Linked DNA regions of Rattus norvegicus. The protein of the gene in region 5 interacts with the protein of the main gene of each other region in a pairwise test. Links are inferred from orthologs where the notes say so. Each region holds a gene or a part of one and is shown on either strand. Other genes may lie near its edges. The genes, in order: Ssx2ip, Ccdc172, Lzts2, Wwtr1, Tead4, Golga2 and Trim27.

Region 1 (3,500 bases), on a different chromosome or scaffold from region 5:
GGAAATCGTTGCCTGCATTGTAATGTTTAAGATGTTATGGTATGGAGAACAGAGGACTTGTGGGAACCAGTTCTCTTCTACCACCCCACTGTGTGGGTCCCAGGTATCCGCTCGGGCTGTCCAGTTTGGTGGCAGGTCCCTTTACCTGCTGAGCCGTCTCACCAGACTGTTAAGGCTAACAGCAGGTGTGCCCTAAGATTTTAGTGCCATGATCTGAAAAACGGAGACCCAGCCGCCCGCAGCTGCGGCTTAGAGTGGCACAGCGCTTCATTGAAATTCCACATTTGATTTCCTAAGACAGCTCCATGGGGATGGAGCCACGCACAAAAGTGTTTTCTCATTGCCCATGCAGTGTACATTTGAAACAGTTCATGTTTAGGCTTCCCTGCCATTTATATAAGGTGTCTACACACGCATGCGAGGAGGACTTAGGGCGACAGACAGACAGAGAGGAACGAGATGCTACAAAATCCAAAAGGATCTTAAGTCCCAAGTGCTCGGGCCCTGAGTGTGTGCTGAGGGATGCCCAGTCAGTATTGTAAGAGGCACAGTGGGTCGCAGGCCTGAAAAACACTGATGGCCAGGGCCAGAGTGCGACACGTCTTTGTCGTCCTTCTCTGCTTAGACCCGACCAGTGCTGATGTGACCTCTGAGTGACCTAATGACCTGACTGAGGGGACCTAATAACCTTTCTTTTAATCTTCTCTCTTCTTTCTCCTGTGCTGGGAGCCAGCTTGGCCAGGAGTGGGTTGAGGCTGGATACAGCCAGCGTTGGGCATAGCTTTAAAGATGGCTGCTCTCTGGCCTCCTAGCTCTCTAACTGCCATAAATGCTTGTTGATAACTTATAAAAAAAAATCTTAAAAACGTTGTTTATTCTATGGTTAAAAACTGTTGGCTTCTTTTCTCTTTAACTCTGTTCTTTATTAAACGTAACTCTCTGTGCTTTACTGAACTCTTTAGGCTTAAATAAGCACTAGGGAAACTTAACTTTCTTACCGTTCTGTAACTCTCACTGTTCCATGATTCATTAAGTACTGAAAACCTAACTGTTAATATTATTTGTGCTTTAATAAACGCTAGTACCTGGCGATTAACACATGCTGTTTAGCCACAGGGAATTTAGAAAAAAGACCATTGCTAGTACCTTTTTCTGGTGAGTCTGCCAGAAGCCTCTCTGTCTAAGCTGGTTAACTCTTTATGAACAAGAGAGGAAGGAAAGGAAAAGAATTAAGATGCTTTACACAGGCGAATATGCACAGACACATACACGTTCATACACTCACACTCTGGCTGGGCCCTACTGTCACAATCAACTCCACAAGTATTCATGCATGTTTACATATATGTATATATACTACACACATGTAGACAGACAAGCAGACATAAACATTTGGCTGGCTGGTTGACTGGGTAGGTGGGTGGATGATGGATGGATGGATGGATGGATGGTGGGTGGGTGGGTGGATGGTGGATGGATGGATGGATGGATGGATGGATGATGGATGGATGGGGCGAAGCTCCCCAAGCCAAACCATTCAACAACTTTCTTTTCTCTGGCCTTTTAATGCCTTCTTAGACAAAAAGTTCTTTAGAACATTACTTCATAAATAAAATGTTACACAAAATGGGAGTTATAGAAGGATGTTGATATAAATTCAAAGCAACAGATTTTACATGGCCTTGCCTTATCATAGTGCACACTTGTGACCCTCTCCTTCGACCTAAATGTCTTTCCTTGATCACAAAATTGTCCCAAGTCTATTTCCCTTTTTAGTGTAACTGTGAAAGCTCGTTGGATTTTATTACTTACTGTTATGAAGAGTAGTAGCATTTCACTCTTGATTCTAACCTTATTACATCTTTCTAGCAAGATGTCATTCTGTTACATCTTTCTAAGACCGTCTCTAAAAGCTTTTTACCTAAAATTATTTGAATGAAATCAGGAATTCCATAAAATCATTACCTATTTGTCTATATAGCATCACTACCGGACAGTCCATCTCCGTAGGTCTGCAGAGATCTGCTCCAGAGAATGGTCAATACTTAGTTATATATTAATATATATTTAATAATATATTTATATACTTAATATTAAATATATTTGTATTTATATATAATTTAATAATAACAGGGATCTTTTCTCAAATGTAATCTCCTCAGTCTTACCTAAAGGAGTGAATCTGTCACAGCTTTATAGTCTATGACAGAACCATCTCAGGAAGGTCACTTGCTAGTTTCTGGCTTCTAGATGGCTTCTGGCACGCCTGAAAGGTATTGTTTTGAATTATTCAAGTATGTCTGCCTGCCATGGATGTTGATAACAAATAAGGGCTATTTCATGTAGATGTGTGCTTGGCCTGCACCGTTAGCACTGTTTCTCTGAGGTAACTTAGCAACATTGGACGTGTTCTTAGTACATCAGAGAAACGTGTCATCCCTGAGATGGCATGAGGAGAATGAGGATTAATGTCTGACTCTAGCTGATCTCTAGAGGTCGTTTAGTGAAGTCGCCTGACCTGCAGACAAGTTGACACTACCCAGAGCCGCGTCCGACCTCTGGGCTCTGTGGGCCTGGCCTGCTTCTCTAAGCCTGCACTTTGCCTTCGTGCACAGTTTGAGGGTTGAGATATGGCAGCATCCAGCACAGTGCTGCATAGACAGGAGCTGCCTCTGCCCAGACATCCGTTAGGCAGATTGGTAGAGATTTAACTGGATCAGGAGTGTCTGTGTCGCCAGTGTTAACTTGTTTGTATTAGGTATTAGCTAATAGGTCTTATCGGTCTGGTCCAGTGCCTGGGTGTAAGGCCACTGTGACGCTTGTGTGTGCCCTCTGTGCCGTAGGTCATCTCCGATGTAGAAGACGACGCTGGGGAGCTGAGCAGAGATGGTGTGTGGAGCCTTTCCTGTGACACTGTCAGGGAGCAGCTTACAAACAGCATCAGGAAGCAGTGGAGAATTCTGAAAAGCCATGTGGAAAAACTTGATAACCAAGGTAACTTCTGCGCCACGGTGTGCAGGGCGGGCCCCACAAACAGTGCTGTGGGCTCAGAGCGGCTGCTCACAGCCAGGGTCAGACTCTGCTGGTTTGTTCCGGGTTTCACACTGAGAGGAGTGCGCTTGGCTTCAGAACAAACCTCAGACAACAGTGTCCCTCAATGTCCAGTGCTGTCTGTGTTGCCGGCAAATCATGCGAATGTGGGTTTCGTAGAGGCCAGAGGCACTGGTTCCCTGGAGCTTGTACAGGGAGCTATAAACCACCTAACAGGGAGCTAGGGGGCCTCTCAGGAGCAGCGCACACTCTGAACCTCTCAGCCGTCTCTCCAGCACGAAAGTTCCTAGTTGATAAATGAAGTCCACTTATAATATATGGAAATGTTCTAACTGGTGAGTCTCATCCCAGTGCCATGAGCCGTGAAGGGCACAGTACAGTTCTCACTGTAGCTCCCACAGGGCTTTGCATGAAACGTGCTCATCGTCTCATGTCCATTTAATAGGAAG
Region 2 (4,244 bases), on a different chromosome or scaffold from region 5:
TCCCATCCTTGAGTACATGGAAGAATTTGGTTATATCTGAGCTAGACACATGCACACATGTATCAGAGGACTATAAAGGTACAAAGTACATTCATGAAGAGCTTTAAATGAAATGGCAAAAGTCCACTATGTTTGTGTTATAGTAAGAAAATAACAGCTGAATCCATGACTCTCAACTCCCATTTTCTTGGTCTCCATTTACTTTCCTGTACAAAGTATGCCTCTTCCTGAGACACAGGATTCCAATCCTGAATTGGCTACATTCTAGCCATCGTGAGTGTGGACAAGTTACTTAGCCCTTCAAGTAACAAAAAACATAGTTCTAATAGGATAACTGGCTTGATTAAAAGAACGAATACACATCAAGATTTCAGATAGTGACTCAACTAAGTAGCTCGGTGACCTCATTTTTACTGGTATATTTTGAGTCTGTCAGTCTGTCACCTTAACTATATTAGAAAAGAAATGTCAAAATCATCTTAAATAGACGTAGTGTGTTCAGAAAGTGAGTGCTTAGCAAATAAATAATAAATATTGAACTACTAATTATAATCAAAACACAAGTAACAAAATAATGTTATCATTCCTTATTCATGGGACTTCAAGGTTTTAAATAAAAAGTGCTTGTCAACAAGGGATACCCAAAAGACAGTGGGAAAATTTTCATCAGTACTAGCTTCTGAATAGCTCTGAGTAATTAATTCTTTTTAACTTTATTTCAAATTTCAGTGTGTATTCTGATAGTTCAAACATTAAACTTCATGCAGACATGACCAGATGAAAATTAAGGTAGAAATATAGAATAGATTAAAGTTTTTAACTGAATATATTGTGGCATTAGTGGGCTATTAATTAAGCCTAGTGTATGTGACAAAATTTTCATTTTACTTAATTTTAAGCACATTCAAACTTTCACATTAAAAGTTACTTCTTAAAAGTCTAGCCAGTGTCAGTTTTACATTCAGAGTAAAGTCAGATGTTTATTACAATGTCAATATTTTGACCTACCAAAACTGAAAATATTTCTTAATTAAAAAAAAAATATCATGCAAAAGTCCCAAAGGTGCCTTTCACATTTAAGCCTTAATTAGCAACCACTTTGGTCTCTGACACACATTGTACAGATATCGAAGTGTTAATATTACCAAGGCTTGATTACAAAAGGCAGTGATTAATTTCGGGGCAGACAAAAAAGATATGCTTTGATTACGAAGGAATGATTACGGTGGAATGTCAGACATTGTACATTTGTAGGAGTCTTTGCTAGCCTCCGAGGATACGACTTTGCAAAAGTTTATATTTAGAATCACGGGTACTTTGCACTTTATAATACTTGGAGACTGGGAGTCCCACCTCTAGAAAGACCCCGAACCCGTGAGCGCAGGTCGCTGCAGACTGGTCCCACCAGGCTTCCGTAGATGACTTCTCGCGAGGCCGGTGGAGGCCCCTTTGGCTGGACACACCTGAGGGGGCGTCAGTTGCCAGCCTCTGCCTGTGGGCATCTTTTCCTGGGAAAGCGAGGGGGTTGGGAAGGGGAAGCATGTCCCCAGCCAAAGTTACTGTATCTGTCCCCCAGGCCTTTTCTGTGGGGGCTGCACTCAGCACAGAAGCACGCCGGGCTGTGGGCGAACATGGAGGAGGAATGGGCCCGGCTCTGGGCGAGCATGGAGGAACAAGCCGAGAGCTCCTGCCCTGGGGCTCTGCTGGGCAAGAGTGGGTGGTGCAGGCAGGGAACAGCCAGACAACCCTCTTCATTGTGCTTTCCAGGATCCTCAGACTCCCTTATAAAATATTAAGGGTGAGCTGGCCCGAGATGAGTCTGGAGTCGTTGTTTCAGCACATCATCTTCACTGAGCATCAGGCCGAGGAGAGCCGCAGAGTGATGCGGGAAGGTGAGCCTGCCCTTAGAGGGCATTTGGCTTTTGGAGCTGGGGTTTGCTCTTGGGGGGCATTTGGCTTTTGGACCTGGGTGTTTGCCCCACAGACTGGAGGGGAAGGGGGCACTGTAAGTGGAGTTTGCAACCTGGACAGAAGACAGATGAAAACTCACCTGCCAAGTGCTGCCGTGATGGAGGCTTCAGAAAGGCGGAGGCCAGTAAAGATTTTGTTGGTATTACAGTGAGGTCAGAAATTGCCAGATGTCGCGGGAAAATTAAGAAAGCAACAGAGGATCTGAATGAAGAAAAGATCAAGTTGGAATCCAAGGTATGGATGCATAGACCATGCTAAGTATCACTTGAGGAAGTGTCTGAACTTGGCTTTGGGGAGCAATTTACTAACTACTTATCCATCAACTAGGAAACTCAGCAGCTATATTCTGTCATTCAGCGTTGTCTAGCGTGTAAGGTTCTGAGTCCACGGTCTTTGGTTTTTAACAGGAAGTGGCCCGGAGGAATCCAGACTTAACGGATTCCCCGTCCATTTTGTGGGATGGTTAATGTTTATAAGGAAAAGTGTCATTGGAAGAATAATTGTTCAATAAGTAGTCAGGGCAGCATATAAATGTCAGACAGTAAGTAATTTAAGTGTGCTCCGTGGATGTAATGGGATCGTATGTGTCTTTCAAATGATGGCTTTCTGCTTTCCAACTCACTACCACAGTTTTGGACTTGTCTCATCCTAAGTTATCTTTTCTCTCATTTCTCTCTCCGGCCGCATTTGTAAAGTTCCGCCTTTTAAAAAGTAAGGACCGAGCGAGCCTGGCTGCTTCAAGGAAGTGGTTGAACTATGGATAGAATTTTGAGGGAGAAAAGAGACTTAGTAGGAGAGACCCTTTGTAGCAAAGAGGGGGCGGTTCTTCCCCAGGCACATTGAGAGAGGACTCTGGACAGCCAGCAGAGGGCGGCGGAGTAGAGTTGGGAGGGAAACGTTGCTAGATTTGACCAGAGAGGGGCAGTAAATGTGCTGTTAGGGGAGCTCCTTGTGCTCTGAGCACAGAGATGGGGATGGACAGTGAAGATGGTGAGAGCTAGAGGCCTAGGTCTGGAAGGAGGAATCAGATGTCCAATAGTAATGTCCCAACACCTGAAGGTGAACTAAGGCAGCAGTGCATAGAGGCAGTCTAGTGACTTGATCACTCAGACTTTTTTTTTTTGTTAATACATTTTTAATTTTATCACATATTAAATATAAATTTGTATGTAAAAGGGATGTAAGTTATAAATTTATTTATACATTATATTACTCTAATAACAGCGTATATTTGTGAGGAATTTTCATTTTCCTGTGGATAAAACAATTCTTGCCCGTTCACCACCTGGTGAACGGCCTCTCTTCTCTCTGCATCCTGTCATGCATCATAAAACCCTCCCTGGACAGCTCTGTAAAATCTAAGTGTCAACATGCGCTCCTGTTTGCAGCCCCTCTTTCTTTGGGAGGAATGTACTTAGTTTTGTTTTAAATTCACCTTTATTCTCTTGGTATCTGTTGCTGAGCCAACACTGTACACAGGTGCATTCACTACTGAGGGCCAGTAACAAGAAAAGAGCTCGGTCTTGATAATTCGACAAATAAAGGTTGGGCATGTTTATGGCTTCCATGTTATTTGTTATGCATTTTGTAATGCTCAGCTCCAGATTAATATATCCGTGCCAACATTTATCCTGACTGTGGTGAAAATATTACAAATCTTCAAAGTTCGTCGTCTAGGTCATTAACTGTAGCCATCCTTCTGTGTAGTCGAATACCAGCCTTTATCCCTCCTAACTCTGAGTACCCACCAACCAACCAACCTTTCCTCTCTGCCCCTTAACTAAAAGAAACTATCTTTTAAGACAGAATGTGGGGTGAGTATTCATTGAGCCCAGCTCTTACTTCTGGACTAAAAGAGAAAGTAGGCCAGCGGCAGTGGGGAATCCTGGTGGCATGGGCAAAGGTGTACAGCACCTTCATGTAGCTGTCTTTCCCTGGAAGAAGACTTAAGATGCTTTGAAAGTTGGGTTGGCAAATAGAAGTCAACAGAAGAAAAGGAACATACACACTCATACACATGCACACACTCACCACATACCATAACCACCACACACACCACATACATACACAAGCACACATCCCCCACACACATGCACACACATATGCCACACACCACAACACACACACTACATACATGCCATACCACACATATATCACACACAACACACTACATATACACCATACTACACACATATCATATGCACATGCACACACATACCATATACAAATATACACACACATACCACATACCACATACATACACATGCAGGCGT
Region 3 (4,160 bases), on a different chromosome or scaffold from region 5:
CTCCTCACTGCTTTGAAGGTTATGCTCATAGCCTTGGGGGTGTCACATCATGAGTCTTTACCCTCTTCCTCCCCAACAGGAATTGTCCCTAGGCCCTGGGTATTCAGCCACACCGCCCCAGGACTGCCACTGGCCGCACCTGACACACGGCGGCCTCACTCTCATCCACACTGTCCCGCAGCTGCTGCAGCTCTGCCTCTCGGTCTCGAAGCTTCCCTTCCAGGACACAGTGTAGCAAGGCCTCATCCGAAGGGGGTGGAGGTGGTGGAGGGGGTGGGGAGCGGTCTCCACCCGAACTGCTGCCAGGGGAGGCCCGGGCCCCACTGCCCAAGAGCCCCCCAGCTACACGAGCCCCCAAGGAACCTGTGCTTTTGCTGGAGGAGGACCGGCCACTGTCTGAATGGGAGGGCCCAGTAGGGACCCCTCGGGCTGGACCAGGCAGTGGCCCTCGGCCAGGGCCGTGGGAGGGCAGGTGCCCACCTGGGGAGTTGGCAGTTGGCTCGGCACCTCCGGTGCTGTAGGTGGGCAAGCTTGATAAAGAATTTCGGCCAGAGTCTGACAGTGTTCCTGAAGGGCAGCCACTGGCCCAACCGCTGAGTGCCAAGGGTTTGTCAGTAGCAGAGGAGGAAGAGGAAGAGGAGGAGGAAGAGGCTGGCCCCCCAAACAGCTGTGTCAGGCTGCCCTGGCTCCCAGATAGCCCAGCAGCTCGAGGACCAAGGAAGCCAGGTAGGGATGGCGCCCCTCGAGGTTTGGGTAGCACTGGCTTGAAGGCTGTTGGTCGGATCAGGATCTTCTCCATATTCTGAAATGAGGTAGCATGTGACACTGTGAGGATGATCTGCCCGACCCCTTTCTTTTTAAAAAATTTAGTATTGTTGTGAGACAGGGTTTTACTCTATTGGCCTGGGTCCACTCACTATGTATCCCCTTGAACACAAGCCCTTCAAGATTACAGGTGTGTGATACCAAGCCCACTTTGCTTACTTGATCTTTCAAAACACACACACACACACACACACACACACAGAGGGGGGTGCATATGTATGAGTATGGATACGTGGTGCCTATGTGTGAAGATCAAATGTCAAAGTGTCAAAGTTAGGAGCTTTCCTCAATCACTTCCCACCTAAGTTTTTACACAATCTCTGGACCTGGATTTCATCAATCCAGCTAGTCTTGACTGGCTAGCAAGCCCCAGGGATCTGCCTGTCTCTGCCTGACAAGTGCTGAGATTCCAGTCCTTTGCCACAACGGCCACCTTTTTATATGGGTACTGGATCTGAACTTAGGAACGTGTATGAGTACACTGTCACTGTCTTCAGACACACCAGAAGAGGGCATCGGATCCCATTACAGATGGTTGTGAGCTACCATGTGGTTGCTAGGATTTGAACTCAGGACCTCTGGAAGAGCAGTCAGTGCTCTTAACCTCTGAGCCATCTCTCTGGCCCACCTTGATCTTACAAAATCATCATACTACTTGGCTTTCCCATACAGGGTTCTCACCCCTATAAATGAAAAACAATGGTTCCCACCGTTTCTTTCTTTCTTTCTTTCTCTCTCTCTCTCTCTCTCTCTCTTTCTTTTTGGAGCTGGGGACCAAACCCAGGGCCTTGTGCTTGCTAGGCAAGTGCTCTACCACTGAGCTAAATCCCCAACCCCGGCGGCACCGTTTCTAAACGTCTACTTATGTTAAGTAATTCAAAATGCTTATTTTTAATCATGATAATAGCCACGCAAGCAAAACATTATCCTCCTCTCCTACTAAAAACAGGATAGAGTCAGTCCCAGAATAAAGGTAAACAAAGGCTTCGCCCAAACACACACACGCACGCGCACGCACACACACACACACACACACACACACACACACACACACACAACACCACACCATACCACACCACACACCTCTATAATAACTAAAGCAACTTGGCTGGAAGTGGTAACAAATGCCTTTAATCCCAGTACTTGGGAGGCAGAAGCAAGCAGATCTCTGTGAGTTCAAGGCCAGCCTGGTCTACATAGTGAGTTCCAAGACAGTCAAGCTACAGAGAAAAACCCTGTCTCAAACACCAAAAGAGAGAGAGAGAGAGAGAGAGAGAGAGAGAGAGAGAGAGAGAGAGAGAGAAACACGAACTACTATATTGTTCATTTGGGAGTATTAATTCTAACAGGAGCCTATAAAGATTATCCTCTAACCTTAACTGTAAAGACACAGAAAATGGGGCTCAGACAGGTTATCTCCCTGAGCCAGAAAGAGAGATAAGACAGAGTCCATGCCTCCAAATTCTAGCTTCCCCAGCGGGGAGCTCGACCCCACCCAGATCCTCCCAAGAGGGCTGCCCGTTACCTTCTCCAGCCTTCCAGAGACAGGGATGAGCTTTGGTGGGGGCCCACGGAGGTGGGCATTGTGTGCCTGATGTTCTCGGGGATCTTCGACATCACTGCTTGGGCTGGGAGGTGACTCTGTCCGGAAGTCCTCATTGACATAGGTAAAGCTGTTGCCTGGGACAGTCTTCCTGGGTGGCACAGCTGGGCAGAGTGGTTCCTGGGCCTCATAGCCACCCCGGAGCAGCCCATCCTGCTGGCGGAAGAAGGTAGGCCCAGGGACACCATGGTGGCGTTGAGGAGCAGGTCCCCCAGGACAGGGCCGGCCTGAGATAAGACTGCTCACGCTGCCCATTGCTGGAGTTTGTGGGGCAGTGGCTGTCTCACGTGCGGGCTCCAGTGGCACTGGCAGAGTGTGCACAATGGCCATGGTGGCAGAGGTTCAGGCCTGGCCAGGGGCCTCCAGGGCAACCTGCGAGCAAGGCATTGGCGTCAGAGTCCCTGCACCTTGAGGATCCTCCCCCTATTAGCCTTCTCCTGACCCCCTCTTCCAGATAGAACATTCCCCATATAGTGAAACAGCTTCACCTCCCAAGAACTGGCAATGAACCTCAAGTCCCTCTGGGCCTCAACTCTAGTCTGGAACAAGGATAAGGAACAACTCAACCAAACAGAGATGAAAGAATGGGAGAACTAAGAGGTTATGCAGGGTTCCTTGACAGAGGAGACCCAGTTAAGCCCAAACCTGTATCCCCTATATAGCGAAGTCTCAGATTGGGCAGAGATCCCTAACTACTAGCTCCCAGTACATGTCCCTACTCTCTTGGGACAGGTGGCCTCATTCCTGGGCTATTTGGGCAGAGGACAAGTCAGGGATACAATCAGTAACTCAGATGGTAATTAGGGAACAAAGAACCAAAGCCAGGCACTGTCCAGCCTCCCACTGCTAGGCCTCAGTTTCTCCCAGACACTCAGGCGGCGTTGAGGGTGGAGCTGGCCAAACAGGAAACCTCACAGGTCTTAGGAACCCACAGATGCCCTCTGGGGTCTCCTACTTCCCAGAGGTCGATATAGGCTGTGCTTGTTTCTATGTCAACTCTTAGCTTCTGCCATCACTTGGGACTAAGGTAGCCTACACAGGCCCTGTCCCACTGTCAACCTTTATAAACCTTCCTGCTTTAGTTGATCTTCGGAATAACTCCTATGGAATTTGAGCAGGAGCCCATTACCACATCTGGTAGGATCTCAAGGAAGATGGCTCCACCCCCACCCCCCATCCTCAGTCTTGCTCCTTCCTGGGAAGGATAGCAAGCCTGCACCCGGAACTCCCTCCCAGTCCCAAGGCTGCCGATGACCAAGACTTAGGCATCTGCTGAAGTCATCATGTAGCTCAGGGGCCAAGAAGTGGACAGAGGCCTCCATGAGAGAGTGTGTATGTGTACACTTGTGGTGTGAGTACATAGACAGGACCATAAAAATGAAGAGAATCTGTGAAAACGTACATGAAAATATGCAGTATGAGTTTAGGCAGATAGTTCGTGCACACACACACACACACACACACACACACACACACACACACGAGATGTAGGGGGACATGACAAAAACAAACAGGGTTGTGCCATGCACCACAAGTGGGCCTCAAACTCAGGGATCCTCTTGCCTCAGACAGCTGGGATTCTAACCTTGTGCTCCTATGCTCAGCTGTACATGTGAATTCTTTTGTTTTGTTTGTTTGCTTTTCCAAGACAGGGTTTCTCCATGTAGCCCTGGCTGCCCTGGAACTTGCTCTGTAGACCAGGCTGGCCTTGAACTCAGAGATCCACCTGCCT
Region 4 (3,500 bases), on a different chromosome or scaffold from region 5:
GGGTTTATGGTACCAGAACAGAAAATATTTATTTAGGACAAGCCTACCTTGGAAATCTTGGATGTGTGTGTGTGTATGTGTATGAGAGACAGAGTCACAGACACATACACACAGATAGATCAATGAATAGATGAATAGATATGGGTATACATTTGTTGCAAGAGCGTGCCTTAGTCAGAGGATCACCACCTCAGGTGTTTTGAGCCGTGTCCTAGGGGTTCTCTACTTCCCATCTTGCCTCTGGGGCACGGAATTATAGGCATTTACCACAGTGCCCAGCTTTGCTTGGGCTCTGGAGCTTTGAGGGCCTCTTGTGTATGTGCTGAGCATTTTCAACCAATGAGCCAGCTAATCCTATCCTGGAAACAAGGTTTGGATGGGGCTGGCCTTAGCTTTAACTGCTTTGCTAAAGGGGATTTACTTAATTTTGACATTTAGTTCAGTGATGCCAACTATTTATTGTTTGTGACAGTTCCTTATTCTGAAGGCTTATGACAAAGAACCTGGGGCTATCTGAGTTACCTTATGTCCAAAGGCTGACTAAAGGATTTATCCAAGGCTTAAAAACAGAATTAGGCTGTCAAACTGAAGATTCTCCCTCTCCCTCTCCCTCTCCCTCTCCCTCTCCCTCTCCCTCTCCCTCTCCCTCTCCCTCTCCCTCTCCCTCTCCCCCTCCCCCCCCCCTCTGTATCTCTGTCTCTCAGTGATCAGGGTCCTGCATTCTCATCTCTTTAGGCTTGGTTTTTACAGCATGGCTTTTTATTATTGTTCTAGCTCACTGCTGACTCACTGTGCTTGACATTCAGTAATCAAAGTTAACCCTGACCCCACTTCTCCTTCCCCACGTCCGGCGCAGAGCTAGGCTTGCACTCAGCCCCTGGTTTATTGTTTATTTTATTTTAAAATTATATTCACTATGAAACTCTTAGAAGGGCATCCATGTCTTCGCTCTTGGCAATAGAAGAGTTCCCCACGGTAACACATCCCAGTCTTGGAAGAAGCATTTAACTGTGAGGAAAGAAAAAACAAAACAAAATGAAGAAATAAATAAATAAAGGAAGAAAGAAAGAAAGAAAGAGAGAGAAAAAGAAAGAAAGAAAGAAAGAAGGAAAGAAAGAAAGAAAGAAAGCCAAGCAAAGCCAAACTAAATACAACTTTACAGAAAGGAAATTTCTAGACCTAGTGTAAACCCAGAGGGTTTATGGTAGTTTTGGACACCAGAGATAATACCTTTGTTATTCAAACTTCATGTGTGGTTAACAGAAAGAGCAGTCACATTCCTTATGTGTCTTAGGCATTGTGTAGGGCTTGACGGGAAGAGGCAAACCTTACTGTCTTTGTGGACATGGAAAGATCTCTGATACCATTTATACATCGATGTAGGGGCACTGTGTGAATTTACTCACCCACCCACTCACCTCCATCCACCAAAGGTTGGGCGTGGTGAAGTGGGACAGGTCTGTAAAGCAGTAAGAATGGTCTGTGATGTGGTTTGGAAACAGCATGGGGCCAGCTTTTGGAGGGCAGCTCTCAGTGGTATCTGTGAGTGGGGAGTTGAGGGTGTGAGGAAGCAGCTGAGGTGTGATGTGTGTGTGTGTCTAAGCTCCTTGGGTTAAACCATCTGCAGTCCTTCTCGTGGCTCAACCACAATGCAAGGCCAAATGGGCTAAGGAAGTCCCTGGTAGAACCAAAAGCAATTCATCAGCCGCCTGTAAGCTGACCCAAGGGGAAGATGGTCACCGAGATACTGTTACTGGTGATGTCGATGGCAATTCTGACATTTACACAAGTAACTAATTGTTTTCCTTCCTTTAGTCACATAGAAAAAATCACCACATGGCAAGACCCTAGGAAGGTGATGAATCAGCCTCTGAATCATGTGAACCTCCACCCCACCATCACTTCCACATCGGTGCCACAGAGGTCCATGGCAGTGTCCCAGCCCAATCTTGGTAAGTCCCAACCTCTGACTCCGAGCTGAAGGAGTCTGAATGAAATTAAGGTTATGATTGAGAAGGGTTTGATTGTAGATATGTGAGGGAGGATTCAGCCAGAGGCTTCTGGAAGCGTCTGGACTGAACCTGGCCATGAGAGAGAGGAGAGAGAAGAGGAGAGGAACCTAGGACTTAGAGGCCAAGAGAGAAGCTGAGAGCCAAGAGTGGAGAACCTAGAGAGCACATGGCCCAAATGGCTGAGGTTATATCAGGCAGAGAAGCTGGGGGAAGGAAGGGAAAGGAAGCCCATCCCCTGGGCTGGAAAGGTTTGGGTGGGAAGGGGTGAGACGTGCTGGGAGGAGCCACAGGTACTAAGCAAGACCTGTTCTGAGTTTCTCTGAGACCTGACAGAGTCTACCCAATCGGTTTGGGGGTTCAGAAACTGCTCTGTTAGCCTTGTATCTCCTCATGCACTGGAGTGTTTCCTTCATTGAGTTACATCTTGATGTTTTTGCCGCATAATCTGTGACACTGATACTGGCTTCCACTGTGCTTCCGACATTCTCTGTATTTCCTTGAATTCTTTGAAGAATCTTGACCTCGTGTCTTCGTTCACACCAGGTGAGGCAAGGAGGGCCTATGCTGCCTTCCTGTGATTTGGTTCCTGCAGAGTACACATGTGAGCCTGCCAGCAGGCAAGGGGCTTGGATACCTTTCTTCTTAAAATCGCAACACCATGCTGTAGCAGTATTAGACAGACGAAGCAACATGATGAGTCACAGCTTGTTAGACAACACAGCCAGAGTTTGAGCCTCCTATATAATATTCAGGTGGCTTCTTCCCATTCAGTCTACATTTACAGTGTTCCAGTCTGGCTTTTAGAATTGGGGGTATTTTCTGCTCCTTGACTTCACTTTAAAAACACTAAGGTAAGGTCCACTGTAGATGAGCAGAGCCGAGTAAACATTCTGCAGAGTCAGGAGTCTTCCAGGAACTCTGTAATTACTGGTCTAAAGCTTGCACGCATGCATTATATCCTCAAGCAGCTGACCCTCCCAGCCAATAAAGGAAGACTGCCCTGGTCCTGCAACCAGTGTTTGTAACCCAAAACTTCCCACAAGTTCCAAATCTATGAAGCTTATGGGTAGCAAGTGTTGGCATAACAAAGAAATGCCAAATTAGATGTGAGCAGACTACTATCATTCAGTGTTCATTTGTGTGTACACGTGTGCCTGCGTGTGTGTGTGTGTGTGTGTGTGTGTGTGTGTGTGTGCGTGTGTGTGTATGTGTGCGCTCGAGCTTCTGGTTATCAGACTCGTCATTGTGCATGCCAAACGCTTGATCTGCTGCTGTAGGTATGTGCTCAGCTCCTGACTTAACTTTAAAATAGGTTGTATTTGGAAACGTCTTTCATGAGCACAGTATTTTAAATTCTAACACTTGGAGCTTTGGATATTTCTCAGGAGAAAGTGGGAAACATCCCTAAACCCACGTGAAAAGGCTAGTTCAGTGCTAGGCACAGGGAGCCAGGCAGATGCTGGGGTTGGCTGGCAAACCAGCACAGCT
Region 5 (4,002 bases):
CCTAGCACACACAGGGCTGGGAGTAGACATCAAACTGGTTAAAGTCGCCCCTTTGCCTTGAATTGCATTGGTTTTTGTTCTTGAATGTGGATTTGCATTAACAATTACTGTCTTGCTTCAACCGTGAACTTCTTGAAGGCAGGGGCTTCTGCACTTAGCTTGGCAGCGGAGTCAAGGAAGGGCTGCTGGATTAAGTGGTGGGACAGTTTGTACTCTACACTCACAGATACGCTGCCCTGCGATGTCCTTTTCATGCGAATGGGATGTGCCCAAGCTTTGATATGACTCACTATTTAATAAGCATACCAGAATTTATACATCCAAACGAGGGCTGCAATCCTTCAAAGTCTTCCCTTTGTAAGACGGGATTCTCAGTCCCATGATGCTGGCATTTCCGCAGACTCTTTAGATCCCCTCTCTTAGGTACAACCCTGGCATTTATAACACTTACTTTTCAACGTCTCCCAGGCTATCCTTCCCTCATTTATTACCTCCATCTCCATCTTGAGTTGTTCGTGCTGGGTAAACGCTAAGATAGATCTGGAGAGTTGCCGCCTTCCAGAGTTTGTTTCACCAGATCAGACTGGGAGAGCCACGGCAATAAAAATTTAATGATAGTGCTTCAGAGATTGTTTGATTTGGGGGGAATAGCAAAGGCTTTTCTTTGATTTTAAGTTTCCCAAAGTGAAGAGGTGAGTGCCGGAGCGAGGTAGTAACTAATTGCTTTAAGCCAAATGGTTCTAAGACTCCTAGCCCGAGCCCACGTGTTTCTTCTAAATTGATCTGACGTACTTCTTTGAAACTCAGACTTCTAACTTCATGGCCAAGCTGTCCCGGACCCTGGGTCATCAGCAGCTAAGTTCCAGCTCTCTGTGAACCACTGCTGGGACCCACTCTTTATTATTGTCCCAGCATCCGGTGGACCTATTCACAGGATAAAGATTCATGGAGTTACAACAGAGTCCATGACGGGTCTCCCCTTTCTTCCCTGCTTTCTGAGAAGTGACAGTTCTGCAGATCCCAAGGGACAAGGAAAGAACTGAAAGGCTGATGTTGGAGAGGGCTGGAGAGGGAAAGCGGTGGCGGATCTGGGAGCAGAGCCGGGAGTTCCTGCTTCCTGCTCCCGGAGCGAGTGTCCTCCGTAGCAGCCTCGGGGAAGGGAACAGCCCTTCCTGCTCCGGTCCGCGTACTCCAGGAGCACAGCGAGGCGCGCCCCACCCCGGCGGAGGGGACGGTTTTTAGCAGGAGGTGGTGGAGGGATTCAATGCCACTCGGGGATGTGGGAAGCTGGAGGTGAGCGGGAAATCCGTAGATCACAGTCAAGGCGTGTGGGCACGAGTGGCCAGAGGCGCCGAGGGGTCCGCGGGGTTCTCGGGTGTCTCCGTCGTGCCCCGTCCCGTGGTCGCCCGCGGTCCCCCGGGCTCCGCCCAGCCGCGGAGCCCAGCCTCTCTCAGGCCGGGTCTCCTCCCTAAGGTGCGGGTGGCAGCGCCACTCCCTCCGCTCCCTCCCCAGCCGCGCGCGTCTCATTCCAGCGCCCATTCCGCGCATTCCTACCGGGCTCCTCTGCAAACTCCGGCCCCGGGGGTGGGGACCGCCTCAGCTACACGCTCGGGCCCCGAAGCCGTCGCCGCGGCTGGAAGACTTGGCCCCCCGCGTGGACTTGGTGCAGCCGGCCGAGCGCTCCCACCCCGCCTCCTGAACCCTGGGACCGGTAAGGCTGCTGAGTTCGGGCGACATCCGCGTCCTGCATGGTCTCGGGCAGCACTAGGGGACCAGTGGGGCACGTGGGGGCGGCGGAGTCCAGAGACTGGACAGAGCAAGGTCGCCTGGCAGAAGTTTTAGAAGTTGGAGACTGATGAGCCTCAGTCAGGCCCTTTTCTACTTTTCAGCCTGGAGAAGGGAGCACAGAAGGGAGGTGTGTTGCTTGGACCTTCTGCAGAGGTCCTCAGGGTTTGAGACGCCGTGGGCCCTATGGGTGAGAAGTGATGGACCATTGCTCCCAAACTCCAAGGCACTCTACTCTAGCAGGCAGCCCAGGGGCGCGCCGCGGTGCACACACGTGTCAGGGGGCTCCAGGCACACCCACATCCATCCCACTCAGTGAGTTCAAGCGAGGTATTACTTACCTGCGCCAGCATCCTTAAGTTTTGGGTGTACCTGAGGAAGAGATATCTGCGCGCTGTGACTCACCTTGCTTTCAGGAGGTGTATTTGTTTGTGCTAAACAATGCGACAGTGAGTGCATTGCTACTTGAAGAGGGTGCTGTCTGAAACCCTAAGTGTCCGGGTGGGTGTGTGATGCCTCCTCTCCAACACCCCTCGTCGCTCTGAGGATGTTGGTTCTGGCTCTGACTTCTTGCAGAACCGGAGCAGGGGACAATGTCTCCAAGTTCTTTGTGTTCAGGGAGAATTTGACAGTAGTAGTTGGAAGTGTCCCCTCCCGGCCCTCCCGCCCCCCACTCCTCACCCCAGCTCTGCTGGGTTGAGCTTTGCTGGCAGGAAGCTGCCTACACCTGCCCCCCTTCCAGGCAGCTGTCTTTCTGAGGGAGTGTGGATCCTGTTCTGGCGGAATCCTTTAGGGAACTGCTGGTAGGCTAAGCAAAGCTGAGATCTTTGCCCCCAGGGGCTAGGATGGGTTGTTGGTAACGTTTATGGGGGTGGACCCTCTAAAAGGAAAGGAGCTTGTTAGGTTGTTTTCTTTTGAGACAGAAGTCTCTTGTAGTCTAGGCTGGCCTGGTCCTACTACCCCAGCAGGAGGTGGCTTTCATTCTCCTGCCTCAAAAAAAAAAAAAAAAAAAATTACAGACTGGAGTCCGTAGGCTTAGCTGACCACATGGGTTGTTGGATAGTGTTTGTTGGGCGGTTGATAGAGTTTCAAAGTTGCCTTCAAGGACAGGGGTGTTAGTGTTCTCTCTGTAGGAACCTTGAAGCAATGAGGAGAAGAAAATCTCTCATTCCTGAATAGCCAGGGTCTTGCTCTGAAACCCAAGCTGGGTTCAAACTGGATATCCTCTGCCTCAGCTTCCCCCTCATTCTTCACAGTTAGCTAGATGACCTTGTTTCTGTGGGGAAACTTGATAGCTCACTGTAGGAAAGCTTTAGTGACAGGAAGGTGAGGGCTGCCTCCGACTTGGTAGCTGAGTCCAGGATCTTGACAGGACGGTGGTGTGAGAGTCACAGACTTGGCATCAGGGTTCTCCCTCATTAACACAACACAAAAGTGATGGCTGTGGTTTCTCGGAAGGAAGGAACAGAGAACCATGTCAGGAGTGAGGGGGAGGGGCTCTTGTGTTTATCTTTCCTTCTCTCCTGCTGATGTAGATAGTCAGCTGGGACATACCTCATATTCCATACTGCTCAGGCCGTGTCCACAAGGGCAGCTCTCATGGGGTAGGGAACACACAGGTGTGGGGTCAGACAGACCTGGACATGAATCTTGATACTCACTACCTTTAAGGCTCTTGGGCTCCGTTTCCTGATGAGTAACATTGCGGGGTGGGAATGAGGGGTGAGTAACTAAAGCCAGTGCAGAAAGCTTGCTCTGAAAATTCAGTGTCTCTAAAGCGTCTGTTAGCACATCCCAGGGCCCTTGGAAATGGTGTATCCTATGTTTTCCTAAGCTTGCTTTGGCAACCCCCTCCCCCTTCCCCTTCATTCCAGGGCCCTTGGAAATGGTGTATCCTATGTTTTCCTAAGCTTGCTTTGGCAACCCCCTCCCTCTTCCCCTTTTCATGTTGAGGATTGGACCTGGAGTCTTGTAACATGTGAGACTAGAGGATTTTGTGTGATTATTCTCTGGGCACCCTTTGGGCAACCTCACCACGTATCATATTTATTTTGCCAACATGAATTGGGCATTTTCTGTGGGTCCCGTGCCATGGGGAGGCTTCCACCAGATAACATAATTCTCTAGCTCCCATATTCTCATTTCTACTTTTGCCTGCTCTCAGGACATTTGCTGAGCACTGTAGGATCCTCAGTCAAAGTCCAGGCCCAGGGTGGG
Region 6 (4,090 bases), on a different chromosome or scaffold from region 5:
GTTGGTGGTCTTTCTCCTCCCATCTTTGGTTTTAACAACTGTCTCAAAGGGGATAGGGTTATAAAGAACAAAAGGAGTTACTAAAAAGGAGTGAATCATGATTTCATCAAAAAGAGTACTTTAAAAATCCATCTTTGAGGGATGAGAAATGAACTGAGTTTTGGGGGTGCCCCCCCAAAAAAAGAGTAGCTTAGGGAGTGGACAGCCTAAAGGCAGATCCCTTTACTGAGAAGCCATGCAGGTCTGGTGGCAGGCTGGGTCAGGGGACAAAACTGCGGGCAGGAGCGGTCGGAGAAGCGTAGGCATCGGGCAGCTAGGAATGGGAGGGTAGGACCTCACATCTGAGAGAGGAAAAGGAGTGGAATTAGGAAAGAACTAGGCTTGGCGGCGGAAGGCTCAGGAAGAGGGAGGCAGGAGCGGTCGGAGAAGCGTAGGCATCGGGCAGCTAGGAATGGGAGGGTAGGACCTCACATCTGAGAGAGGAAAAGGAGTGGAATTAGGAAAGAAGTAGGCTTGGCAGCGGAAGGCTCAGGAAGAGGGAGGCGATGGGTGGGGATGCAGAGGGAGGGGGTGGGGCTGATATACTCACCGGCGATCGGTAGCCCCCATGGTAAATTCGGCTGAATTCTGACTCACCCCTGGGGAGGAACCCGAGGAAAGGGCTGATGAGAATGGGGTTACCAAAGGGGTGCGGGAGCCGCAGCGGGAAAGGGTTGGGCCCGGACCCAGACTCCGGGGCATTACCCGAGATATCGGGATGGGGGATGGGGCTTTGAGGTCAGGGTGCGCAAGGTAGGGAGGAGAATGTGTGGAGAACTGGTTATGGAGAGGCCTGGTGAGGAGTCTGGGGGAAGGAGTGAAGAGTAGGGAAAGGGCTGTGAAATGAAGCGCGGCGCGCTCGTCACCCACCTCCTGAACCCTAAGGTCCGGGGCACCCGGAGCGGGGTGGGCTTAAACTCTGAAGGGTCCAGGATTGGGGTTAAACGGCTGCTTTTCAGGTAACCAGAAATCGACGATGGAGACCACCAACTGCCTCACGTCCGGCTGCGCACGCACCAAGCTAAAGCTGTCCCGCCCCTCCCTCCGATAGGTGGCTGTGAGGGGTCATGGCTGCGCGCGCAGCTTTCGTCGTTAACTCCACCCGTCGCTCCCGCCTCGCGACAGCGTGACCACGCCTCCCTGTCAGTCATCATTCTCATCAACCAATGGGCTTGGAGAAGGTAGGTCACGCCGGGTTTCCGAGCGTCCTAGTGAAGCTCTGCACCCGCCTTCTCTGGCTCTTGTTGAGGAGTCGTAGCTGCCGGAAGCAGTTTCGCGGTGGCTGCCGGGATCGTGGTGATGTGGCCCCCCCGCTTCCCCCCTCCCCGCCCCGGGATGTCGGAAGAAACCAGGCAGAGCAAATTGGCTGCGGCCAAGAAAAAGGTAAAGCGCTCCGGGTCGCGGCCCCTTGACCCCACCCGAGCTCCTCCAACAGCAGGACTATGAATAGAGTCCGAGCCTTTCCCGAGACACACAGGTAGAGAACCCTTCAGCTCCCTGGGTTCCCCCCAGCGAAGTCTTCTCAGCCAGCCCCGCCCCCTCAGCAACCCAGCCCCCGCCCTCTCAGTCGCCCCTAGGTGACTTTGGTCAGTGACACAGGGTCTCAGCCCTTGACTCGGGACGCTCCAGTCCAGACCTCTCTGGGCACCTGCCTCCAAGGACCTGGGTCCTGGCCCTGTAGGCGACTCGGGCGTTGGTAGTATGGAGTGGAATGTAGTTACGTCACAGTCCCCCCCCCCCGAAACTGTCATTACTACTCCGAGTCGGATTTGGATTGCCCCACCTGCTCACCTGATGTTGATGCCCCCTTTCCTGTTTCTCTGGTGGAGAACTTAGTTCCACCTGGAAGGGAGCCCGAGTTTGGAATCTAGTGCGGAGGCGCTTTAGGTACCCACAGTCCCTTAACTTAGCATTAATGTGAGCACACAACACAGTTCAGTGTTCCTTGCTGACATGGAAGAATGGGTTTGGTTTGCATTTAGGTTATTTTTCAGTTTTCTGCTCTCTAGAGAGACTGTAATCTCTCTGGAGCAAAATGCATGTATAGTGTTGATCAGTTTCTTGGGGAACTGAACTTAACAGCTTGAAATTCAGCCAAATTGTCATTTCAAAACTGATGAGAGCCACAGGATGCGTGTGAGGCATCTCATGGGAAGCATCACTTTCCCATGTTTCTTCTGAGAGAAAAAACTGTAAAGGTTGGGCATGGCATTTTCTTAGATTTGTAAAGACTTCTCTCTGAGATGACGCTTAGGCCCTTTCTGGTCCCATGTTCACTAAAGCTTTGCCTTCGTGGCTTCTGCCCTTCTGTCACATTGTAAAGTTTAGGAAGTAAACTTTAGGAAGCACGTTTAGGAAGTACTGCTGTGTGTCTTTAATATGTGTTGATAAAACGGCCCCAGTGGGGTTAGGAGTGCACTAAGTTGTTAGGTGTTTATCAGGACTCAGCTCAGTTGGCAAGAGTGCTTGCCTACCATGTATGAGGCTCTGGCTTGGATCCTGGCATGGCATTAACTGGGCAGAGCAATACATGCCTATATTTCCCTGACTCTGGAAGTAGAGGCAGAAGGATCAGGACTTCAAGGTTATTTTTTACTATATGTGGAATTTGATACCAGCTTGGTGTATGTAATATTTAATACTGGGTCTGGAGAGAAGGTTCAGCAGGTAAAAGCACTTGTTGCTCTTGCAGAGGACCTGGGCATAGCTCCCTTCACCTAGTATTGCTAACAACTGTCTCTAACTCCAGTTCTAGAGGTTGCATATTATGCCCTCTTCTGGCCAATTAGGTTACTGCATATGTACATGATGTACAGCCATATATGTAGGCAAAACAAACAACTACCCTCATACACATACAGTCTTTTTAAAATTAAACTTAATTTTGTGTTTGTTTTTGAGACAAGGTCTATGTATTCCTGGCTGGCCCTGAACTCAGATCTGCCTGCCTCTGCCTGCCTAGTACTGGGTAAAAGGTATAGGCCACTATGCCCAGCAATCCTGTTTTGTTTCGTTTTGTTTTGAAGGGAAGCTGTGTATATATGGCTTAGTAGTAGAATTCTGGCCTCTCATACATAAAACTCCAGGTTCAATCCCCAGCACAACAACAACAACAGCAACAACAACAACAACAACAGCAACAACAAAACAACAAAAACCATTAACATGAGGTTTTATTGACAGTACTTTGGCTTTTGACAGGGAGATGGCTCATTGGGTAAAGAAGTTCAACACAAGCAGGAGGACCTGAATTTCTAGATTCCATATAAAACCAGACATGGCAGCATGAATCTGTAAGCTCAGATGTTCTCTAGCTAACTATATGGTGAAGACAGAATTATAGAAACTGAGAGGCCATCTTGCCTGGTGTGTGTGCTAACGAGAGAGTTCTCTGAGAGTGGGAAAGAGGAAGCAACACTGAGGCTGTCCTCTGACATTGTTGTATGTACCATGACATGCCTATGTACTCTCTCTCACAGCATATACACATACATGTGTCCTCTGACATTCTTGTGTACACCATAACATACCCATGCACCCTGTCTCCTAGTATACGAACATCCATGTGCACGCACACACACACACACACACACACACACACACACACACACACGTATATGTTTTAAAGACAGGGTATTTGAGTATTATTTTCAGCACCCACATGATAGTTTACAATCTTATGTGATTCCAGTTCCAAGGGTTCTGACATCCTCTTCTGACCTCTCTGTGCACCAGGTATACATGAAGTGCACATAAGTGAATATGGGCAAACTCTTGTGCACATAAAACATACTCAAAAGTAAGTAAGAATAAAGACAGGGTCTTCCTTTATCCTGGGTTAACCTGGAACTTGCTGTGTAGACTGGGCTATCCTTATCTTATCACAGAGGTCCACCTGCCTCTGCTTTGAGGACTGAGACTAAAGGTGTGTGCCACCATGCCAGCAAGAGAAAATGTTCTGAAAAGAGGAGTGGGATTTAAGAACCAGGTTATAAGGGTTGGGGATTTAGCTCAGTGGTAGAGCGCTTGCCTAGCAAGCGCAAGGCCCTGG
Region 7 (4,123 bases), on a different chromosome or scaffold from region 5:
CGCAGAATTCTCAATTGGGCAGAAACAAGCAAGTTTTAGGTTCTACTCAATGCCGTTCAATGCACTGGACACTTCATTTAAACTAATGGATAAAAATCTTTATGGCTCAAGCTGTGTTTTAAAAAGTTTAACTCACGGATGGGGAAAATTCCTGAAAGCAACAGTGTATGGGGGCTCAAGGAAGACACTGAAACAGACTGCTGGGAGTAAGAACTTTATTAGCGCCATAGGCAGATAGGCGGTGGACAATCAGAATTTCTGGCCGCGCCACAGGCGCCAGGGGGAGGTGGGGGCTGGGGAGTGTTCGAGAATGAAGCCCACGTGGCAGAATCAGGGTCGTTTCTTCTAGGGTCTCATAGGAACCCGCGGCCAGGCTCCTTCCTCAGCAGGTGGTAGGGAAGAAGTGTGTCATCAAGTAGCTCTTTGATATGTCTGGTCTGGCTACTTCACTTGAGGAAGTGAGAAACTGGGCACCAGAGGAGCCTGTTAAGAAGTTAGGGACTCACAAGCGGGCTCTCGGTGAGGCAGCTCCCTAGTAGCCGGAAGGCTAGAGAGAAGGGGAAGGACTTCAGTAGGTATCAGGGTCTGGTGAGCACTCTGGTCTGGATTCTATCAATCCCCCATTTCACGCGAGAAGAAAATGAGGCTCGGAACGATAAACAAACTTACTTTAGGGTGGAAGTAGAAGTGGGCTTCTCCATTTCTGCCACTGAGAAAAGTTGCTGATAATAAAACCTTTTTCTGGCGATTATTATCGCCTGGAGTTGGGTGTGTTTCAGAGTGCTTCACACACTGGGAGGGGCTTAGCTGGTCTCTCAGCCCAGTTTTCCGGCACTTATGCAAAGCCACCTTGCATTTAAAGGAGCCAAGGCCTAGGCACTAAGAAGACACCCGGCAAAGGACTACGGATCCACCAAAGCTTAGAGTATCCCGACCCCACTGCCAGGGACACCCTGCTCCCACTGCAAAGGGCAACCACCACCGACTCCCGGGCTGGGTACCGGGGCTCCAGGACTGCGCCGAGGAAACCCGCCTTCCCGCCCCGGAGGAGAGCGGCGCGGGAAGCCAGGCCCCGCCCCCGGCCCACCTCTTCCGCTCGGCCCTTAGGAGTCTGCGCGGCCCTGGGATCCCTTCCGACGCGGCCACGTTGCCCGGTGAGCCATCCTGCAGCGCCGGGTTCCCGACACCCCTCTGCTCGGCTCTCAGCCGGGCCCTGGGGCCCAGGCCTTCCCGCGCTGTCCGTGAGGTGCAGCTGTGCGGGGACGGGTCTGGCCGCCCCAGAGCTCCGCACGCGTCTAGGATCCCCGCGCCGGAGGCCCCACCCCGCTCCGGATCTGAGAAGCCGAGAGAGAGCGCCGGGCTCTGCCAGAGCTCGGCTCCGGGCTCATGCCCTGCGGCCCAGCCGGCTCGCGCCATGGCCTCAGGGAGCGTGGCCGAGTCCCTGCAGCAGGAGACCACCTGCCCCGTGTGTCTTCAATACTTTGTGGAACCCATGATGCTCGACTGCGGCCACAACATCTGTTGCGCGTGCCTGGCCCGCTGCTGGGGTGCCGCGGAGACTAACGTGTCGTGCCCGCAGTGCCGGGAGACCTTCCCGCAGCGCCACATGCGGCCCAACCGGCACCTGGCCAACGTGACCCAGCTGGTGAAGCAACTGCGCACCGAGCGGCCGTCGGGGCCGGACGGCGAGATGGGCGTGTGCGAGAAGCACCGCGAGCCTCTGAAGCTGTACTGCGAGCAGGACCAGATGCCCATCTGCGTGGTGTGCGACCGCTCGCGCGAGCACCGTGGCCACAGCGTGCTGCCGCTGGAGGAGGCTGTGGAAGGCTTCAAGGTAGGGCCGGGCCGGCGGACAAAGAGGAGAGCCGGGGGCTTCCTGGTTTGCCGCCGAGAAAATGGCGAGCCGGACGTGGGGCCCACCGCCGTCATTTCCTCCCTGTCGGCTGCGGAGCCTCCGCGCTCAGACTCGGAAGGAGAACCTGTAGCTGGCGAGGCCAGAGGCGTCCCCACCCCCACCCCTTCTCCGAGCGCCCCCTGTTAACTGCCTCAACGCGTGCCGCGGCTGGGACGGCGCGAGGAGACCCTCCCTTGACAAAGGAGATGCACATGGAGCCATGTCCACTTCCATAGGCCTTGAACACCTCGAACTTGCTCTGGCCCAGGATATCAAACCAGACAGCCCCTGTTGGCTGGCCGAATTCACATCGACCGATGCCTATCACTTAATCTAAGCCCCCAGCGCTTCCCTGTAACCTGTTTTAGAACCTAATGGAAATGAACAGAGCTCTTTACTGCTTGAGTAAATCATTTAGCCACTCTCAGACTCGGGAGATAACTTAATGAAGAGGAAGTGAACTCACAGGACCTGAAGAGGCCTTTGTTGAATAAACACTGGCACAGCTACACAGTAATTCGAAAATGTTACATATAAAGTAACTCTCAAGTGATAATGAGTCTGTTTTGAGGACTGCAGGGATATGTACCAACAGTTAGATTTGTTTAAATGTGAGTTCATCCAAATGTCAGTCACGTTTACAAAGCTGTATCATTTCACTCACTGGAAATAAAGTTGTAATTTAGTAATGCTTACCAGTTCTGTGCATGAGGAAAATAAATCATTTTTTTCTGTATTCGTCTGAGGAATAGCTTACCTTTTGAGCCTCTTTACCCAGATGTCTCATAACCTGTGCAGAATGCTTCTAGGAACTGGTAGGTGGCTTGAGTTTAACAAATTTCTAAAACAGCTGTGCTGGACCCTGTGCTTTAGGCTCTTCCCAGGAATGGCACTGTGGTCTGAGGACAGAGTCCAGCCCGGCCTTGGCATCTGTAGTTTGGGTTCCTGTGTCATAAGCAGAGTAGCTATTTTGATGCTGAGATCTGCAAAATTCTGAATTGGCTGACTGTTTACTTTCTTCAGGAGCAAATCCAGAATCGGCTGGACCACCTAAGAAGAGTGAAAGACTTGAAGAAGAGACGGAGGGCACAGGGGGAGCAGGCACGAGCTGAGCTCCTGGTAAGGGTCCAGGTCTCCAGCCTGCAGAGAGGCATTGCATCAGGATAGCCTTGGCAAGGGTGTAATGAAAACTTCTAAGCAGAGCATTTCCCCTTGGTGTCTGTCATTCCTATCATTTAGCTCCATCCTGTCTCTGAGTGAGTGCGATCTTGACACCTCTTGCTTGAAAACAGGATGAAGAAACTTCTCAGTGATCTTGTGTAGACTAAACTTAAACATACAATGTATCATATCAGCTTTGGGAGGATTTTCCAGAGAGAAATACTTGTGCCAGTGTGTCAGTCACACTGCTTTGGATATACTCAGTAAATTGATCTTTAGCCTTAATTTTGTCTAAGGTTATATTGTATACTTTATACCTTTGAAAGACTTATCCAGGTTAAAAGAGGTATAAGGGGCCCTTGGAACAGTTGAATTCAAGTCAGATTTTAGCAAACTTTCTGAAAGGGGCCAGTAATAAGTATTTTTAGCTTTGTTAATTTACACAAGCTAAATCACAACACCTCAGTCATTGCATCTCAAAAACAGCCATGTCTAATACATAAATGAGTGGGTTTGGCTGGATTCAAGTAAAATCTTTCTTGACTGCTCTAGAGCCATTTTGCTGACCATTTGTTTATTCAGAAATAGTTTCACTATGCAATCCAGGATGGTCTTGAACTCTCCATATTCCTGCCTTAGTCTCCCCAAGTGCTGGAATTATAGTATGCACTGCCACACTTGGTTTATAATCTTAGAACTCTAGGTTTTTTAGGATGTCTTAGGTAGCCCCAGTTGATCTTAAGTTCATTATATAGTTAAGAGTGATCCTGAAGTTCCAGTCTTGCCTTGTCTGCCTTCCAAGTGCTAGGAATGCAGGCATGGAGGAATTAGAAATGTAGGAAAGATAGACAAACCAATAGAAACATTGTATGGAGAGGAACCCATAAGCACCCCCTAAAAAATCAGGGCATGGATTACTTACTGAGACCAAGTAAACACATCCAGGAAACTTGTGCTTGCTCGATCATACCAGGTCATGTCCACAGAGTGCACACCTAACCCTGCCATTTCACTGTGATTGTTTCATGACTCCGCCTGCCAGGCAAGATGTTCATGGGCTCCAGTCAT

The links.
Region 1: the proteins of Tead4 (region 5) and Ssx2ip interact in a two-hybrid assay, tested with the Homo sapiens proteins (2 studies listed by BioGRID). The two-hybrid records come from large-scale screens. The link is inferred for Rattus norvegicus from reciprocal best matches to the Homo sapiens genes TEAD4 and SSX2IP.
Region 2: the proteins of Tead4 (region 5) and Ccdc172 interact in binary tests that used the Homo sapiens proteins (3 or more experiments, as listed by UniProt). The two-hybrid records come from large-scale screens. The link is inferred for Rattus norvegicus from reciprocal best matches to the Homo sapiens genes TEAD4 and CCDC172.
Region 3: the proteins of Tead4 (region 5) and Lzts2 interact in binary tests that used the Homo sapiens proteins (3 or more experiments, as listed by UniProt). The two-hybrid records come from large-scale screens. The link is inferred for Rattus norvegicus from reciprocal best matches to the Homo sapiens genes TEAD4 and LZTS2.
Region 4: the proteins of Tead4 (region 5) and Wwtr1 interact in binary tests that used the Homo sapiens proteins (3 or more experiments, as listed by UniProt). The two-hybrid records come from large-scale screens. The link is inferred for Rattus norvegicus from reciprocal best matches to the Homo sapiens genes TEAD4 and WWTR1.
Region 6: the proteins of Tead4 (region 5) and Golga2 interact in binary tests that used the Homo sapiens proteins (3 or more experiments, as listed by UniProt). The two-hybrid records come from large-scale screens. The link is inferred for Rattus norvegicus from reciprocal best matches to the Homo sapiens genes TEAD4 and GOLGA2.
Region 7: the proteins of Tead4 (region 5) and Trim27 interact in binary tests that used the Homo sapiens proteins (3 or more experiments, as listed by UniProt). The two-hybrid records come from large-scale screens. The link is inferred for Rattus norvegicus from reciprocal best matches to the Homo sapiens genes TEAD4 and TRIM27.

The regions. Positions count from the first base shown.
Region 1 is NC_086020.1:237,978,964-237,982,463, forward strand, and holds part of Ssx2ip (afadin- and alpha-actinin-binding protein), read left to right. Parts: intron 1-2,843; coding exon 2,844-2,994; intron 2,995-3,500. UniProt on the Homo sapiens protein: Belongs to an adhesion system, which plays a role in the organization of homotypic, interneuronal and heterotypic cell-cell adherens junctions (AJs).
Region 2 is NC_086019.1:267,613,920-267,618,163, forward strand, and holds the start of Ccdc172 (coiled-coil domain-containing protein 172), read left to right. Parts: upstream 1-1,444; 5' UTR 1,445-1,494; intron 1,495-1,767; 5' UTR 1,768-1,813; coding exon 1,814-1,892; intron 1,893-2,119; coding exon 2,120-2,205; intron 2,206-4,244.
Region 3 is NC_086019.1:253,830,739-253,834,898, reverse strand, and holds the start of Lzts2 (leucine zipper putative tumor suppressor 2), read right to left. Parts: upstream 2,801-4,160; 5' UTR 2,759-2,800; coding exon 2,351-2,758; intron 803-2,350; coding exon 140-802; intron 1-139. UniProt on the Homo sapiens protein: Negative regulator of katanin-mediated microtubule severing and release from the centrosome. Required for central spindle formation and the completion of cytokinesis.
Region 4 is NC_086020.1:143,843,942-143,847,441, reverse strand, and holds part of Wwtr1 (WW domain-containing transcription regulator protein 1), read left to right. Parts: intron 1-1,815; coding exon 1,816-1,952; intron 1,953-3,500. UniProt on the Homo sapiens protein: Transcriptional coactivator which acts as a downstream regulatory target in the Hippo signaling pathway that plays a pivotal role in organ size control and tumor suppression by restricting proliferation and promoting apoptosis.
Region 5 is NC_086022.1:163,255,543-163,259,544, reverse strand, and holds the start of Tead4 (TEA domain transcription factor 4), read left to right. Parts: upstream 1-1,202; 5' UTR 1,203-1,711; intron 1,712-4,002. UniProt on the Homo sapiens protein: Transcription factor which plays a key role in the Hippo signaling pathway, a pathway involved in organ size control and tumor suppression by restricting proliferation and promoting apoptosis.
Region 6 is NC_086021.1:35,980,493-35,984,582, forward strand, and holds the start of Golga2 (golgin subfamily A member 2), read left to right. Parts: upstream 1-1,290; 5' UTR 1,291-1,338; coding exon 1,339-1,422; exon of another isoform or gene 1,423-1,516; intron 1,517-4,090. UniProt on the Homo sapiens protein: Peripheral membrane component of the cis-Golgi stack that acts as a membrane skeleton that maintains the structure of the Golgi apparatus, and as a vesicle thether that facilitates vesicle fusion to the Golgi membrane.
Region 7 is NC_086035.1:48,243,349-48,247,471, reverse strand, and holds the start of Trim27 (zinc finger protein RFP), read left to right. Parts: upstream 1-1,414; coding exon 1,415-1,834; intron 1,835-2,366; exon of another isoform or gene 2,367-2,505; intron 2,506-2,571; exon of another isoform or gene 2,572-2,709; intron 2,710-2,917; coding exon 2,918-3,013; intron 3,014-4,123. Other genes in the region: uncharacterized protein LOC134482717, read right to left, coding at 447-483, 1,088-1,416. UniProt on the Homo sapiens protein: E3 ubiquitin-protein ligase that mediates ubiquitination of various substrates and thereby plays a role in diffent processes including proliferation, innate immunity, apoptosis, immune response or autophagy.